Arabidopsis thaliana: one gene and its partner. The protein of the gene in region 1 interacts with the protein of each later gene in a biochemical or structural test. Each region holds a gene or a part of one and is shown in the gene's direction. Other genes may lie near its edges.

What was found.
Region 2: the proteins of TSA1 (region 1) and TSK form a complex in vitro, tested with the Arabidopsis thaliana proteins (one study listed by BioGRID).

The regions. Positions count from the first base shown.
Region 1 is NC_003070.9:19,518,787-19,526,220, forward strand, and holds TSA1 (TSK-associating protein 1), read left to right. Parts: upstream 1-1,816; 5' UTR 1,817-1,975; coding exon 1,976-2,065; intron 2,066-2,142; coding exon 2,143-2,194; intron 2,195-2,292; coding exon 2,293-2,334; intron 2,335-2,417; coding exon 2,418-2,503; intron 2,504-2,643; coding exon 2,644-2,713; intron 2,714-2,853; coding exon 2,854-2,928; intron 2,929-3,011; coding exon 3,012-3,059; intron 3,060-3,158; coding exon 3,159-3,224; intron 3,225-3,312; coding exon 3,313-3,360; intron 3,361-3,460; coding exon 3,461-3,529; intron 3,530-3,615; coding exon 3,616-3,663; intron 3,664-3,787; coding exon 3,788-3,856; intron 3,857-3,925; coding exon 3,926-3,973; intron 3,974-4,071; coding exon 4,072-4,140; intron 4,141-4,237; coding exon 4,238-4,285; intron 4,286-4,382; coding exon 4,383-4,442; intron 4,443-4,517; coding exon 4,518-4,571; intron 4,572-4,652; coding exon 4,653-4,715; intron 4,716-4,808; coding exon 4,809-4,856; intron 4,857-4,932; and 15 more. Other genes in the region: AT1G52415 (Bifunctional inhibitor/lipid-transfer protein/seed storage 2S albumin superfamily protein), read left to right, coding at 7,380-7,434. UniProt on the Arabidopsis thaliana protein: Involved in seedling development in the dark. May be involved, when interacting with TSK, in the organization of spindle microtubules and may participate, when interacting with GIP1, in structural links between the nuclear envelope and the cytoskeleton.
Region 2 is NC_003074.8:6,447,188-6,455,061, reverse strand, and holds the start of TSK (tetratricopeptide repeat (TPR)-containing protein), read left to right. Parts: upstream 1-1,860; 5' UTR 1,861-2,016; coding exon 2,017-2,283; intron 2,284-2,407; coding exon 2,408-3,208; intron 3,209-3,719; coding exon 3,720-3,896; intron 3,897-4,103; coding exon 4,104-4,195; intron 4,196-4,685; coding exon 4,686-4,784; intron 4,785-4,895; coding exon 4,896-5,625; intron 5,626-5,743; coding exon 5,744-5,873; intron 5,874-6,085; coding exon 6,086-6,202; intron 6,203-6,421; coding exon 6,422-6,522; intron 6,523-6,672; coding exon 6,673-6,790; intron 6,791-6,914; coding exon 6,915-7,027; intron 7,028-7,107; coding exon 7,108-7,219; intron 7,220-7,427; coding exon 7,428-7,532; intron 7,533-7,619; coding exon 7,620-7,686; intron 7,687-7,766; coding exon 7,767-7,874. Other genes in the region: WNK6 (with no lysine (K) kinase 6), read left to right, coding at 1-115, 208-755; RLK902 (Ribosomal protein L7Ae/L30e/S12e/Gadd45 family protein), read right to left, coding at 1,192-1,403, 1,499-1,625.

The DNA.
Region 1 (7,434 bases):
TTTCTCTGATCTGAATCATCCTGGGCCACTTTTCTTGTTCCCACTGTGGTTTTACAATTATTAGGACTGTTCCATTCGTAGTGTGCATTATTATATAATGTAAGAAAAGTAGTTACGTACCGAATTGTTATTTTTGTTTGTTTGTAATACAGGAGAACGCTGATTAGAAGTCCATATTAATCTACTTGACATGTATAGGTAGAATTATTCAGAACCAAGAAGACATGCATGCTATGTCTATATGTATATGGCGGATATGGAAATTTATTTGATAAAATGAATTAATGTTTATAAAAAGCATATCATAAAAATAAAATAACACATCCTATAATGGTTTTAATAACAGGTAGAAGAACTTCCCGAACGTGTTTTAACCCATTGATATGTAGGTTGAATTATTCAGAAATGAGAAGACATGCATGCTCCAAAATTATGTACAATCATTTCACGGATAAAAGCAAAATAGTTGATAATATATATATTTTGTTTGAAAAAGGGTTATAATTGAGACGATATATTTACGTGTTCTCTGATTCATATACTACTGTCTAGTGATATATAAACTTTTATATATTTATAACATAATACTAATCTCAAAAAAAAAAAAAATATTAGTAATCGATATATATCACATGTTGCACGTTGAGACAACATATATCTTTCTACTAGTACTGAACTTATATTTGTCCGCTCTGGACTACGACGTCACACGGGAGCCATGCATTTAACTATTCCATCAAGGGACCATCAAACCTAGAGACACTATTGGATAATTTATTGTTTGAAGAAAAAAAAATTATTGCGTAGTTTAAATTATTCACTTATTAATAGTTAATAGAAATTGAAAAGCGATATTACAACAATAATATTCTTTACTTTGGATAGAGTCGTATAGAGAATTAAAAATATATATTCCAATTATTAAATATAAAGTTAATTATAGAAAGATTGCATTTGGGTACATGTAATGCGAACTTATGAGTTCTTCAAATTTAAAGGCACTAATTCACTTTTTCAAAAGCCAAGAAGTAATTATTTTATTTGGAGTTTTAAAGTTGTTTCAGGGTTTTATCATTTTGAACAGTGAAAAAGTCCCTATTTCTATAATTATAGCCTTTGAAAAATGCCTACTTTCACACGAATTTTATGAAAAGTTTGTAAAATCCCTTAAATGTGATTATATATACTGAAAAAAGAGGTTCTAAAATCTTCTTAAGGTTTCAAGTTTTATTTCTGGTTCAACATATAGAAGAGACATTAATAATAATGACCCTAGCTAGCATTCTCCACAAAATTAAGTATGGAGGATGAGTCTGTCCATGGATTGATATCCAAATTCATGACTAGACAGAATTAACGCAAAAAATCGAAATTCCACAATATTGACAAAATGAAATATAAAGTCATTAATTTTTTTAGAGTTGTGAGTTTGTTTTTTTACGTAATAATAGTTTTAAAAAATTTAATTTACATAATAGAAAACTAATAAAAGTATTTTTACTATGTCAAAAAATATAAGAAAACAAACCAACGTAACACATAAAAAAATGAGATGTTCAAAAACGAATTTGTACGAGCTTGACCACTTAACTATTGAGCAATCTGATTTGGGAATGGAAGGCATAACCAAAAAAAAAAGAGATGTGTTTTTAAAAAAATTGACTTTATTAAAATAAATATTTCTATCTTAGTTATTCCATCAATAGTTTTTTTTTTGTTTTTTTTCCTATTTCCATGATATTATTATTTTCAATAAAATTATAAAATGTCACATTTACTAATATTAATTATATTATTTCACATCTAGCTGTTTAACTTTTGCTACACACAAAATGAGTTATCTAGAAGAAGAGCCACGAGATAAAAGAATGAAATCCACGTTTAAGTTAGTTACAACGGTTTTATTTTATAAGCGTATCCATAGCTATGTGATGCTTCTTCAAGCTTAAAGATTTTGTGTATCCTCGTTCTTGTAATGGAAATCTACACCATGAAAACGAATTTTCTTGTACTGGCTTTGTCTTTGTGTATCCTTCTTTCAAGCTTCCATGAGGTTTCTTGTCAGGTAGAAAAAAACATGTCTTTTAATTATTTTTCTTTCAACCTTAAAAATAATTTTCAACGCATCTTGTATCTTTTTAGGATGATGGTAGTGGTTTGAGTAATTTGGATCTAATAGAACGTGATTATCAAGGTAAGGACATTCTCAGAAATACCGACACTTATCCAAGGTTTTCTTTCTTTTTATTTGTTTTCTTGGATTGATTTTAGGTTCTCTTTTTTTCTTTCTAGATAGTGTCAATGCTCTTCAAGGCAAGGACGATGAAGATCAGTGTAAGATCTCTCTCTCTATATCTCTTTCTTGATTCTATTTTTGTTATGTTTGTGACAGCTTCTATGTTTCTGTGTGTCTTCAGCTGCAAAGATACAGAGTGAAAACCAGAATAACACTACAGTGACTGATAAGAACACTATTTCTCTATCTCTATCAGATGAATCTGAGGTTAGGGTTTAGCTTTTGTTGCGTTGCTCTTTAAGTTTAGATTTGGATTCTAATTAATGAAAGTAATAAAGAGATTCCTGCAAAGTAGTTTTTTGTAAACTTAATTAAGGTGAATTTTTGTCTTTGCTGTGTGTGTTTAGGTTGGATCTGTTAGTGATGAAAGCGTTGGACGTTCGAGTCTGTTGGATCAAATCAAACTTGAATTCGAAGGTATCTCAAGATCTTGATCTTAGTGATTGTGTTTATGGTGTGAAACATGAAAGGCCCTTATTTATTTTACTATATAGTTAATCAGAAATTGATGTTTAGTAAAGTTTTTGTATATAATTGTGTATCATGATTAATTGCAGCTCATCACAATAGTATTAACCAAGCTGGATCTGATGGTGTCAAGGCTGAATCCAAGGATGATGATGAAGAATTATGTAAGATTTTCTTCTATGAAATTCTTTGTTTCTTCAATAGTTCTTTCTTTTGCTGATGTAGTTGTTATTGTGTCTTGTTTCAGCTGCTCATAGACAGAAAATGTTGGAAGAAATCGAACATGAGTTTGAAGGTTGTCTCATAGATTATACATCTAGCTAGCTTATAGTTAGTTCACTTATAAAAAAAAGTTTGTTAATCTGACTTCTTTTGCTTCTCCTACTTGTTGCAGCTGCTTCAGATAGTCTGAAACAACTAAAGACTGATGATGTAAACGAAGGAAATGATGAAGAACATTGTAAAAGACTCCTTCTCTTGACTCCATTTTGTCCTTGCCATAATATGATACACTGAAACAGGTTTTGTATCACTTGTTACACTTACAGCTGCAAAGAGGCAAAGTTTGTTGGAAGAGATCGAACGTGAGTTTGAAGGTATATTCTCAACATACATGTCTTAGATAGCTCCTCTGTTTTGAGATAAAATCTTGAATCTAATAGTTAGCTTTTTCTTCTGTTTCATCTCATACCTTAGCTGCTACAAAAGAACTTGAACAACTAAAGGTTAATGACTTCACCGGGGACAAAGATGACGAAGAACACTGTAATAAACCTCTTCAATTTCAGATTTATCTGTTCCCTTTGTCTCTATTTGAGTATTTTGTGACTGATTATGTGTCTTTGTTACAGCTGCAAAGAGAAAAAGTATGCTTGAAGCTATTGAACGCGAGTTTGAAGGTATCTTGAGACACCAGTATGTTTCAATATGTTCTAAGAAGAATGCAGAAACCATTATAAATCAATCTGAGTATCATCTAAGAGTTTGTTTGTGTGATTTTCTATTTCAATCTCCTACTTGCAGCTGCTATGGAAGGCATTGAAGCACTTAAGGTTTCTGATTCCACAGGAAGCGGAGATGATGAAGAACAATGTAAAGTCACATATAGTCCTTTTTGGTTTTCTCTTATCCATTTCCACTGAAGCTGCTATCTTGTTACAGCTGCAAAGAGACTAAGTATGCTTGAAGAGATCGAACGGGAATTTGAAGGTACTTTGTATATATACCACAAACTGTCTTAATCATATGATTCGTAAAGAAAATTGTGTGTTACTTAATAATATGTTTCTGTGTTCTGTTTCTCATAGCTGCTTCAAAAGGTCTTGAACAACTAAGGGCTAGCGATTCAACCGCGGACAATAACGAAGAAGAACACGGTATGAAACGTTTGCGGTTTGTCCCATCTTCTTTATCTAATTCCTTTTCCTGCATACAGTTTTCTGAATCAGATTGAATATACTGTCATAAAAACAGCTGCAAAGGGACAAAGTTTGTTAGAAGAGATCGAACGAGAGTTCGAAGGTATCTCCTACATAACATTTACTAAGAGTCTTAATTAGTTCACATCCCAACCCTGAGTAATATCTGAGAGTCTTATATCTACATTTATCACTTGCAGCTGCTACAGAGAGCCTTAAGCAACTTCAAGTTGATGATTCTACTGAAGACAAAGAACACTGTAAAGCACTCTTCTTCTTATTATCTGCTATTCTTTCTCTATGGTTATCTGAATCAGGCTTTGAATGTATTGTAGTTACAGCTGCAAAGAGGCAAAGTCTGCTGGAAGAGATTGAACGTGAATTTGAAGGTTATCTTTAATATCAAATATAGAAAACTAAACATGGAGAATAGTGTTTTTAAGAATGTGTTTATTGTCTTCTATTTGCAGCTGCAACAAAAGATCTTAAACAACTAAATGATTTCACTGAAGGCAGTGCTGATGATGAACAATGTAAATATCTTTCTTTTTCTGCGGGTTTTCGACTCTTTTTCTTCCTTACAGTATTCTGAGCCTATTCTTCTTGTATCTTGATCTTTATTACAGCTGCAAAGAGAAACAAAATGTTGGAAGATATCGAACGCGAATTTGAAGGTAATCTATCCTCACATACCATTTATCTCACACTCTTTTTTAGATCCTAATTTTCTGTAATTTTATAATTTTGTAGCTGCTACAATAGGTCTTGAACAACTAAAGGCTAATGATTTCTCTGAAGGCAATAATAATGAAGAACAATGTAAGAAACAACAAAAACTCTTCTTGATTCACTTTCTTCACCACAGTATTCTGAGACAGAGTTAGTTATCTCTTGTTATATAGCTGCAAAGAGAAAGAGTATGCTTGAAGAGATCGAACGCGAGTTCGAAGGTATGTCAACATATAAGTATCTGTCTCATCAGCTCATATTCTTCAGAGGAAATCTTGAACCTGTTTTCATCTTCTACTTGCAGCTGCTATTGGAGGTCTTAAACAGATCAAAGTTGATGATTCCAGAAATCTTGAAGAAGAATGTAAACTCTCTGATCCATTTTTTCTCTTTAAAACCTTCTCATACAAAATTTGTAACTGTTTTGGTTATAATTTTTTGTTTCAGCTGCTAAGAGAAAGATAATTTTGGAAGAGATGGAACGTGAATTTGAAGGTACTCCAAGATTCTATTACTGATCTCTTCTAAGTTCTAAGTAAAGAAAGTATAGATTGACAGTTTCTGATTCCAACCTTCTTGTTCTGCAGAAGCACACAGTGGTATTAATGCAAAGGCTGACAAAGAAGAATGTAAGAAACAACCAAAAGTCTTTAACTTTTTTGCTTCACTCACTGTCTCAAAATATTTTTCTAAGACAATTCTTGTTCTCACAGCTGCAAAGAAACAGAGTGGCTCTGCTATACCAGAGGTTCTTGGACTAGGACAGTCAGGTGGTTGTAGCTGTTCTAAACAAGACGAAGATTCCTCGATTGTTATACCAACAAAATATAGCATAGAAGATATCCTCTCTGAAGAATCTGCAGTCCAGGTTTTTGTTTTAAACCTTTTCTTGAACAGCAAGAAAGTGATCAGAATCACAATCTCTAAAGTCTAATTCCTATGTTTTCATGATTTTTCAGGGAACAGAGACTTCTAGTCTCACCGCGTCTTTGACTCAACTCGTTGAGAATCACAGGAAAGAAAAGGAATCTCTACTCGGACACAGAGTTCTCACTTCTCCTTCTATAGCTTCTTCCACAAGCGAATCATCTGCTACATCAGAGACTGTAGAAACCCTAAGGGCTAAACTGAATGAGCTTCGCGGCTTAACCGCTCGTGAGCTTGTGACACGTAAAGATTTCGGTCAGATTCTCATTACGGCTGCGAGTTTTGAAGAGCTAAGTTCAGCTCCAATCAGTTACATTTCTAGGTTAGCTAAATACAGAAACGTCATCAAAGAAGGACTTGAAGCTTCTGAGAGAGTTCACATCGCGCAGGTACGAGCAAAAATGCTCAAAGAAGTTGCCACGGAGAAGCAAACCGCCGTGGACACTCATTTCGCAACCGCTAAAAAGCTTGCTCAAGAAGGAGACGCGTTGTTCGTTAAAATCTTCGCAATCAAGAAACTGTTGGCGAAACTTGAAGCAGAGAAAGAATCTGTTGATGGAAAGTTTAAGGAGACTGTGAAAGAACTTTCTCATCTTCTGGCTGATGCTTCTGAGGCTTACGAAGAGTATCATGGCGCGGTGAGGAAGGCGAAAGACGAGCAAGCGGCTGAGGAATTTGCGAAAGAGGCGACGCAAAGTGCAGAGATCATTTGGGTTAAGTTTCTTAGTTCTCTTTAGAGAACAATTGAGATTCTTGGTTGTGTTAAGAGCAAATCTAGAGCTCTTGTTGGTTCTTGTTATGTATTTTGTGATGATGTTCTGTTTCAGAGTTTGTGTGTTGGTTGTATCAGGAGAAAGAGGCTGGGAGATAGAGAGAAAGAGAGTCTCTGCGAAAACTAATAATGTTTTTTCAGATATCTAAATAATAAGCTTTTTGCATACATTGTATTGTAAATTTGTAACATTCTTCTCCTCTCTTCCAATGATTTTTTTTTCTTGTTGACTATTCTTACTAAATAACGATGAGGTAAAATATAGGTAAATGATTATCATTTTTTTTTTACTTGCTATATCATTTCAACTGGGAGAGGTTAAAAATACAAAAATAGCTTTAAGCCTTTAATAACAATATTGGCAAAGTATTTTACTATGAGATAGAAAAATGGTTTTTGGTGTCCACTATAAAAACAACTAGAATGATCGGTCAATTTGAATTTACAAGGAACATTGAAGTTCTCACTTCTAATCTATTCTGATTTACTCTGAAATTTTAGTTATAGTTTGACCTACTAATTAAAATACTCTAAACTAAAACGTACTAGTGTTTTTTTTTTTTAAACGTACTAGTTGAATCCGAGAAACGCTCAACTCACCGTTTTTTTTTTGTTTTAAATAATTCACACGCGGCCGAATGCATTAAAATCTCGCATGCGTTTATTAAGTTGAATTTTCTGTTAAAAGTATATAAGATAGTGTTACGATTACGTTTATTAGGTAGAGAGATATAGTAAGACCAAACAAATAAAACAAAAAATTTGCTACATGGTTAGGATGATGATGAAAGTAGCGTTTGCAATGACGTGTCTTCTGGTTGCTG
Region 2 (7,874 bases), on another chromosome or scaffold:
GGATCCAGGTGTATTGAGGTTAGACGCGCAAAGAGAGGGAATTTCTTTGTCCTCAAGGGTGAAGAAAACGATGAGCAGTCTGTGTCCTTAATTCTTCGTATAGTAGATGAGAATGGTCAGTTCTTTATTCTGCTCCAGCTAAGATTCATTACTTTCTTCGATATTTTTGCATTCTGAAACTTAATATAACTGTGTCTTGTTGCACAGGGCGTGTGAGGAACATTCATTTCCTGTTCTATCAAGAAGGGGACACTGCTTCTAAGGTGTCGAGTGAGATGGTTGAGCAACTCGAGTTAACTGACCAGAACGTCACGTTTATAGCCGAGCTGATTGATATACTACTTGTCAACATGATACCCACCTGGAAAACCGATGTCACAGTCGATCATCTCATCCATTCGCAACTGAATCAGAACTCAAGAAGTCATCATAACGAAGCAAAGCCACAGAAACAAGAGGAGACTGTTTTTCATGATACTTGTGAGTTGGTTAGTCACTCGTGTAACTCAGATTGCCCACGATCAGATGAGGAAGATAAGCAATGCGTCGATGCCACCAAAGGAGAAGACAAGAGCTCCATTCAAGAAGTAGAAGAAGCAACCGAACCAGTAAGTTTGGAGGAAGAAGAAAGGTTAAGACAAGAGCTGGAGGAGATAGAAGCTAAGTATCAGGAAGATATGAAAGAGATAGCAACGAAAAGAGAAGAGGCCATTATGGAGACGAAGAAAAAGTTGTCTCTGATGAAGTTAAAGTAATAGCCAAAAAAGCTCAAAGAAAACGTTGATACTGATGAAGAGCTTTTGTGTTTTTAATCTCTTTTGTTTAATTTGTTGGTTGGAGGAGAAGTGTAGAAAGATGAAGGGTTTCTATTTGATTAATTGAGATTTAATTTGGTTGGTTGTTACAAGTTAGAACATAAAAAATGGTTCCTGTTAAAATGTTCTAAGAGATTGTCCATTATATATGATTTTGTATAAATTGAACATGTAATTAGTTAATAGCCAACTATTGTAATAAAAGTAATCAAGCCTTTTCGTGTAAGGAATCAATCAACAGAGACGAAAATGTAGTAATTAATTATAACCATTAAGAGGAAGTCGGGAAACCAAAGAAATCTAACATTAAGTCTTTGAAGAACACAAAGCATAATCAAGCATAGAGAACAACATGGCAAAATCATCAAAATCAGAATCACTGATCTCCAGGAAGTGTCTTGATGATGTCGGAATCACCAGGATCAACGATGCTGAGGCAAGAAACTCGGAAGTATTTACCACAAGCAGTACCCAAATCAACATTGTTGCCATTGTAGCGATGAACTCCAACTTTAGCAAGCATCGCATAGTATTCAATCTCTGACCTTCTCAACGGTGGGCAATTGCTAGATATCAATATCAGCTTACCTAAACCCCCCAACAATATCCAACAATTATTCAACTAAATTACGAGGAAGACGAACACTATAATCAATCGATGAAGAGGGATTTTAAATTTTTACCTTTGGAGCTGCGAAGGGATTTGAGAACAGACTTGTATCCAAGAGTGTACTTTCCACTCTTCATCACAAGAGCTAATCTGCTGTTGATTCCTTCATGGGACTTCTTCGCCTTCTTCTCCGCAACCATTTTTCACCGCCGGGAAGATTCAGATCGCAGGTTTACAAGAGAGAGTTCTTCTTCGGGTTCGGGCGGCGCAAAATGATAGTTTATATAGCGAGTGCCTTAGAACCCTTAGGGTTTTTTTGTTTTCTTGTCAGGAGACAGGAGGATATAAGAAGCCCAAAATAAACTCGACCCAAGGCCCAAACTAAAAGGCCTATAACTTCAGGATTTAGGGTATGAAAATTTCTAATTTACCCTTGAATTTTGGCGGGATAGTTTGGGATGGGACCAAAAATTTGGCGACTGGAGAAAATGAGAAAATCAAAATCACTGAGAAAGAAATTTCGAGAAATCTGAAAATCGGAAGGAAGAAAACAAAAACCTTTCAATTGAAGAACGGAGAAATCATCATCCGATGGGTCGATTAGATGTAGCTGCGGCGAAGAGAGCGTACCGGAAAGCAGAAGAAGTGGGTGACCGGAGAGAACAGGCGAGGTGGGCTAACAATGTCGGCGATATCCTTAAGAATCATGGAGAGTACGTTGATGCTCTCAAGTGGTTTAGGATTGATTACGATATCTCCGTCAAGTATTTACCTGGGAAAGATTTGTTACCTACTTGTCAGTCTCTTGGCGAGATCTATCTCCGCCTCGAAAATTTCGAAGAAGCCTTGATTTATCAGGTAAGCCCTCTTGAATCAATTGCTTTTTCCTACTTGGTTATTGTTGGCTTCCTGAATTTTCCGTGAATAATTTTGGTGTTTGAGTTTTTCATTTTGAATTTGTGTTTTTTTCTGGTGGTTGCAGAAGAAGCATTTACAGCTAGCTGAAGAAGCTAATGACACTGTGGAGAAGCAAAGAGCATGTACTCAACTTGGACGTACTTACCATGAAATGTTCTTGAAGTCTGAGGATGATTGTGAAGCCATTCAGAGTGCTAAAAAGTACTTTAAGAAAGCCATGGAACTTGCACAGATTCTCAAGGAGAAACCACCTCCTGGAGAATCTAGCGGATTCCTTGAGGAGTATATTAACGCACATAACAACATCGGTATGCTTGACCTTGATCTTGATAATCCTGAAGCAGCCCGTACTATTCTTAAGAAAGGGCTGCAGATTTGCGATGAAGAGGAGGTGAGAGAGTATGATGCTGCTCGGAGTAGGCTTCATCATAACCTTGGAAACGTTTTTATGGCGCTGAGAAGTTGGGATGAAGCAAAGAAACACATTGAGATGGATATTAATATCTGTCATAAGATTAATCATGTCCAAGGAGAAGCGAAGGGGTATATCAATCTCGCTGAATTACACAACAAGACCCAAAAGTACATTGATGCTCTTTTATGTTATGGTAAAGCTTCTAGTCTAGCGAAATCTATGCAAGACGAGAGTGCATTGGTTGAACAGATAGAGCATAATACCAAGATAGTCAAGAAATCCATGAAAGTTATGGAAGAATTGAGAGAAGAAGAGCTTATGCTTAAGAAGTTGTCTGCAGAAATGACTGATGCCAAAGGCACTTCGGAGGAACGAAAGTCTATGCTCCAAGTAAATGCTTGTCTTGGAAGTCTTATTGATAAATCTAGCATGGTATTCGCATGGCTGAAGGTGAGTTTTATAACTTAAACACTCCTTCCTTTTTAGTCCTATCACTCCACCCCATGTTCGCATTTATTTGAAAAGTTTCCAGAAGTTAAAGTTGTCCATCGTAGGGGTTTTTAATGATGAATAAGCATTGTGAGATTTCATCAGGTAGTATGGAGTAGGAAAAATATGCTATTTTCTTAGATTTGATTTAAGTTTTGTGAACTTCTGCTATTGACACTGTCTTTTCAGATCAGTCAGGAAGACTATATTATCAAAGAATTACATGATTCTTGTTCTCTCAAGAAAACCTATCTTTTGAATGCTGGGATAATATCTTTGTTCTGAACTTGCAAAGTAAAGTTATTATGTGGCAAAACGATGATTATTCTGTATCATACGGATACTGAGTGATCCAAGTCTCTGCATCACTGTTTCAATGACTTGTGATATAGTTTTGAAAGTTAAGTAGGAGGCTGCCATTTGAAGTTTGCATGCAACTAAAGGGTTGCTATTTCTTCTTTGAATGTCTTAGCATCTTCAATATTCAAAAAGGAAGAAGAAAATATCAGATGAACTCTGTGACAAGGAAAAGCTGAGTGATGCCTTCATGATTGTTGGAGAATCTTACCAAAATCTCAGAAATTTCAGAAAGTCCCTGAAGTGGTTCATAAGAAGTTATGAGGGACATGAAGCAATTGGTAATCTGGAGGTGAGATTTGTTTGCTTGCACGATTAATTATAAAAACCTATGTTCACTACTGTCATCAGAATTTGATTCACAAAACCAGAAATAATTCATTAGGCCTCTACTGAACATTTTCTGTGGAAAACTGATTATACCTTTTCTTGGATTTGTCAATATTATAGCTATTCTTCTTTCCTGATTCTAATATTCACTTATGGTGGTCTCTTGTAGGGTCAAGCACTAGCGAAGATTAATATTGGTAATGGTTTGGACTGTATTGGGGAATGGACAGGAGCACTTCAGGCATATGAAGAGGGGTACAGGTAGATCCAATTATAAGTAATCTTTATCAAACTGCGCATTTGAGCTATTATTTGGTTATGTTTGTGATTCAGTCCTAGTAAATCTACTTATTAATTTTCCTTGAGAGAACTGATAATTCCATTGAACAATATGACGGCGATGAAACTCATTTTTTTCTTAAAATGGAAAGAACACTTGAAGCAGAGCAAATGTGAATGTGCTATAAAGTACTTAACTGCTTGTTGGTTGTCCCTTTCGACTAAGTTCACGAATTACTGCACTATGGCTTCTGAATAAATAATACAATGTACTTTGAATCAGTACTTCTCATGATAGTGGATAATTATAGCACATTTTGCATTTTCAATCACTTAAAATATTTTTTCTGTGACTTTCTTCTGCTATATTCAAACACATCGCATATACATTTACGTGAATTTATACACACATACTGCATGCTAATAAATTAACTATTGGTCTTTCTGGATTTATTTTCATTTGATCCTGCAGAATTGCTTTGAAAGCTAATCTTCCTTCAATCCAGCTTTCTGCACTGGAAGATATACACTATATCCATATGATGAGATTTGGGAATGCTCAAAAAGCCAGGTAACAATTACTGTTTTGTCACTGGACGGAATATGGATAGACACCAAATCTGGTGTAAGGTTTGCAGTTTCAAGTATTTCATTTTACTCATATATTATTTCTACTGTCTAGTGAATTGAAGGAAACAATACAAAATCTGAAGGAGTCAGAACATGCTGAGAAAGCCGAATGTAGTACACAAGATGAATGCTCTGAAACTGACTCAGAAGGGCATGCGAATGTATCGAATGATAGGCCAAATGCATGTAGCTCACCGCAAACACCAAATTCACTTAGATCAGAACGGTTAGCAGATCTGGATGAAGCAAATGATGATGTGCCACTAATTTCATTTCTCCAGCCTGGAAAACGTCTGTTCAAAAGGAAACAAGTTTCAGGAAAACAAGATGCTGACACTGATCAGACGAAGAAAGATTTCTCTGTAGTAGCAGACTCTCAGCAGACAGTTGCTGGTCGAAAGCGTATTCGAGTAATCCTCTCTGATGATGAAAGTGAGACCGAATATGAGCTGGGATGCCCTAAAGACAGTTCTCACAAAGTTCTAAGGCAGAATGAAGAGGTTTCTGAGGAAAGTATGTATTTTGATGGTGCTATTAATTATACGGATAATCGTGCCATCCAAGATAATGTAGAAGAAGGTTCTTGCTCGTATACGCCTCTCCATCCTATTAAGGTGGCTCCAAATGTCAGCAATTGTAGATCTTTGAGTAATAATATAGCTGTTGAAACAACTGGTCGTCGTAAAAAAGGATCTCAATGTGATGTTGGCGACTCCAACGGCACGTCCTGCAAAACTGGAGCTGCTCTCGTGAACTTCCACGCTTACTCAAAAACTGAGGATGTGAGCAACTGTGATCTGGTTTTTGAGTTATCATTGACCATTCTTGGGATTGGATTTCATTTATTTTTCTACTTCGTCCAATCTTCTTCATGATAACTATATGTTTTACTTGTTGCAGCGAAAAATAAAAATTGAAATTGAAAATGAACACATAGCTTTAGACTCCTGTTCTCACGATGATGAGTCTGTGAAGGTGGAACTTACTTGCCTATACTATTTACAGCTTCCTGACGATGAGAAATCTAAAGGTATGTGCTTTTGTTTTCTTAGCAAAACTTTAGGATGATCCCAGTTCGGATCAGTCTCTATAATGCATGATCCCAGTTCGGATCAGTCCTATAATTCTCATCTCACGCTTAATAACATTTCTTTTGCTTTTTGATATCATTCCCCTTGTTTCCTAGCACGTTTTAAGTTTTGCTCTAAAAGTTTGAATCTTTGAACATTCAATTTGCGTTAGGTCTGTTGCCGATCATTCATCATTTGGAATATGGTGGAAGAGTTCTGAAACCATTGGAACTATATGCGATTCTCAGGGACTCTTCTGAAAATGTTGTTATTGAAGCTTCCGTTGATGGTAAGTATTTCCTTGATAGAATTGGAATCTACTCATGATATTTGGATGTATGATTGTCAAGCTGATCATTCTATAAATTTGTTTTCATCACAAATTGTTCTCTCACTTTTTACATGATTGTGCTGAACCGCTGTATTGGCTTTTAAGATTATGGTCATTGATTCTTCCCTCTTATTTATACACCACGGCTGAATCAGCATGAAATTAATTTGTTTTCAGGCTGGGTTCACAAGCGCCTGATGAAACTATACATGGACTGTTGCCAGTCGTTGTCAGAGAAACCCAGTATGAAATTGCTTAAGAAATTATATATTTCGGAGGTGAGAGTATTACCCCAAATTTTAGCGGTTAATGTATGAAATATTTTCTTCTCTTTGTTTGCTTTTCAACCTACTTAAAGCTAGCTAGTTACAAATTCTTACTTTATTTGATGTATAATCTGAATGGTTATTTCGTTGTATGTTTATCAGGTAGAAGATGATATCAATGTGTCAGAATGTGAACTGCAAGACATATCAGCTGCTCCATTATTGTGTGCCCTCCATGTCCACAATATTGCTATGTTGGATCTCTCCCACAATATGCTAGGTGAAAGTTGCCTCTGACGTCTTACTTAATTTAATGAGCTGACCTAAGTGAGTTAGTTGGTTATGCATAGGGAACTACTAGGAAATTCAGAAGTGTTAATTTCCATCGTCTCATTGGTTGTTAGGGAATGGAACAATGGAGAAATTGAAACAACTTTTTGCCTCATCAAGCCAGATGTATGGTGCTTTAACTTTGGATTTGCACTGCAATCGATTTGGTCCAACTGCTTTGTTTCAGGTACACTACTAGGCCCAAAGCTAGAAAATTTCACATATTCATGTTATTTTCGTATTATTTAATATACTCCTCTTTACCAGATCTGTGAATGCCCTGTTCTGTTCACTCGACTTGAAGTCCTCAATGTGTCCAGGAATCGACTTACAGATGCTTGTGGATCATACCTCTCAACTATAGTGAAAAATTGCCGGGGTATAGATTTTTTTTTTTTTTTTTTTAAATTATGATAATTCATTTACAGTATCTAAATGCCCTGATGGTATGTTTTGTTTCTTGGTTTCACTGGTGTCTTATAAACCCAGTAGATAGATATATGAAATACCTGATATTAGGTTTAATAATCTTAAACATTTTCTTCCATTCACTAGCTTACATTAATGTGTCCCCTTTTGTTTCTTAGCACTTTACAGCTTGAATGTGGAACATTGTTCACTTACATCAAGAACAATCCAAAAGGTAGCTAATGCTTTGGATTCGAAGTCAGGACTTTCACAACTCTGTATAGGTGATCTTTCTAATTTGTTATGTACATTCAATTTATTTTTTTTATCTCGTTTCAGTTTGCTGAAGTTGGTGGATCCGTATATGGCAGGTTATAATAATCCTGTTTCAGGGAGTAGTATTCAAAACCTCTTGGCTAAATTGGCTACTCTAAGCAGGTTGAAAGAAACACATTTTAAAGCTGTTTTTTTTTTATACGTAAATCCATCTAACATGATCATATGTCAAAACACTGCAGCTTTGCAGAACTGAGCATGAATGGCATAAAGCTGAGCAGCCAAGTTGTTGATAGCCTTTATGCACTTGTTAAGACTCCATCTCTGTCAAAACTTTTGGTTGGCAGCAG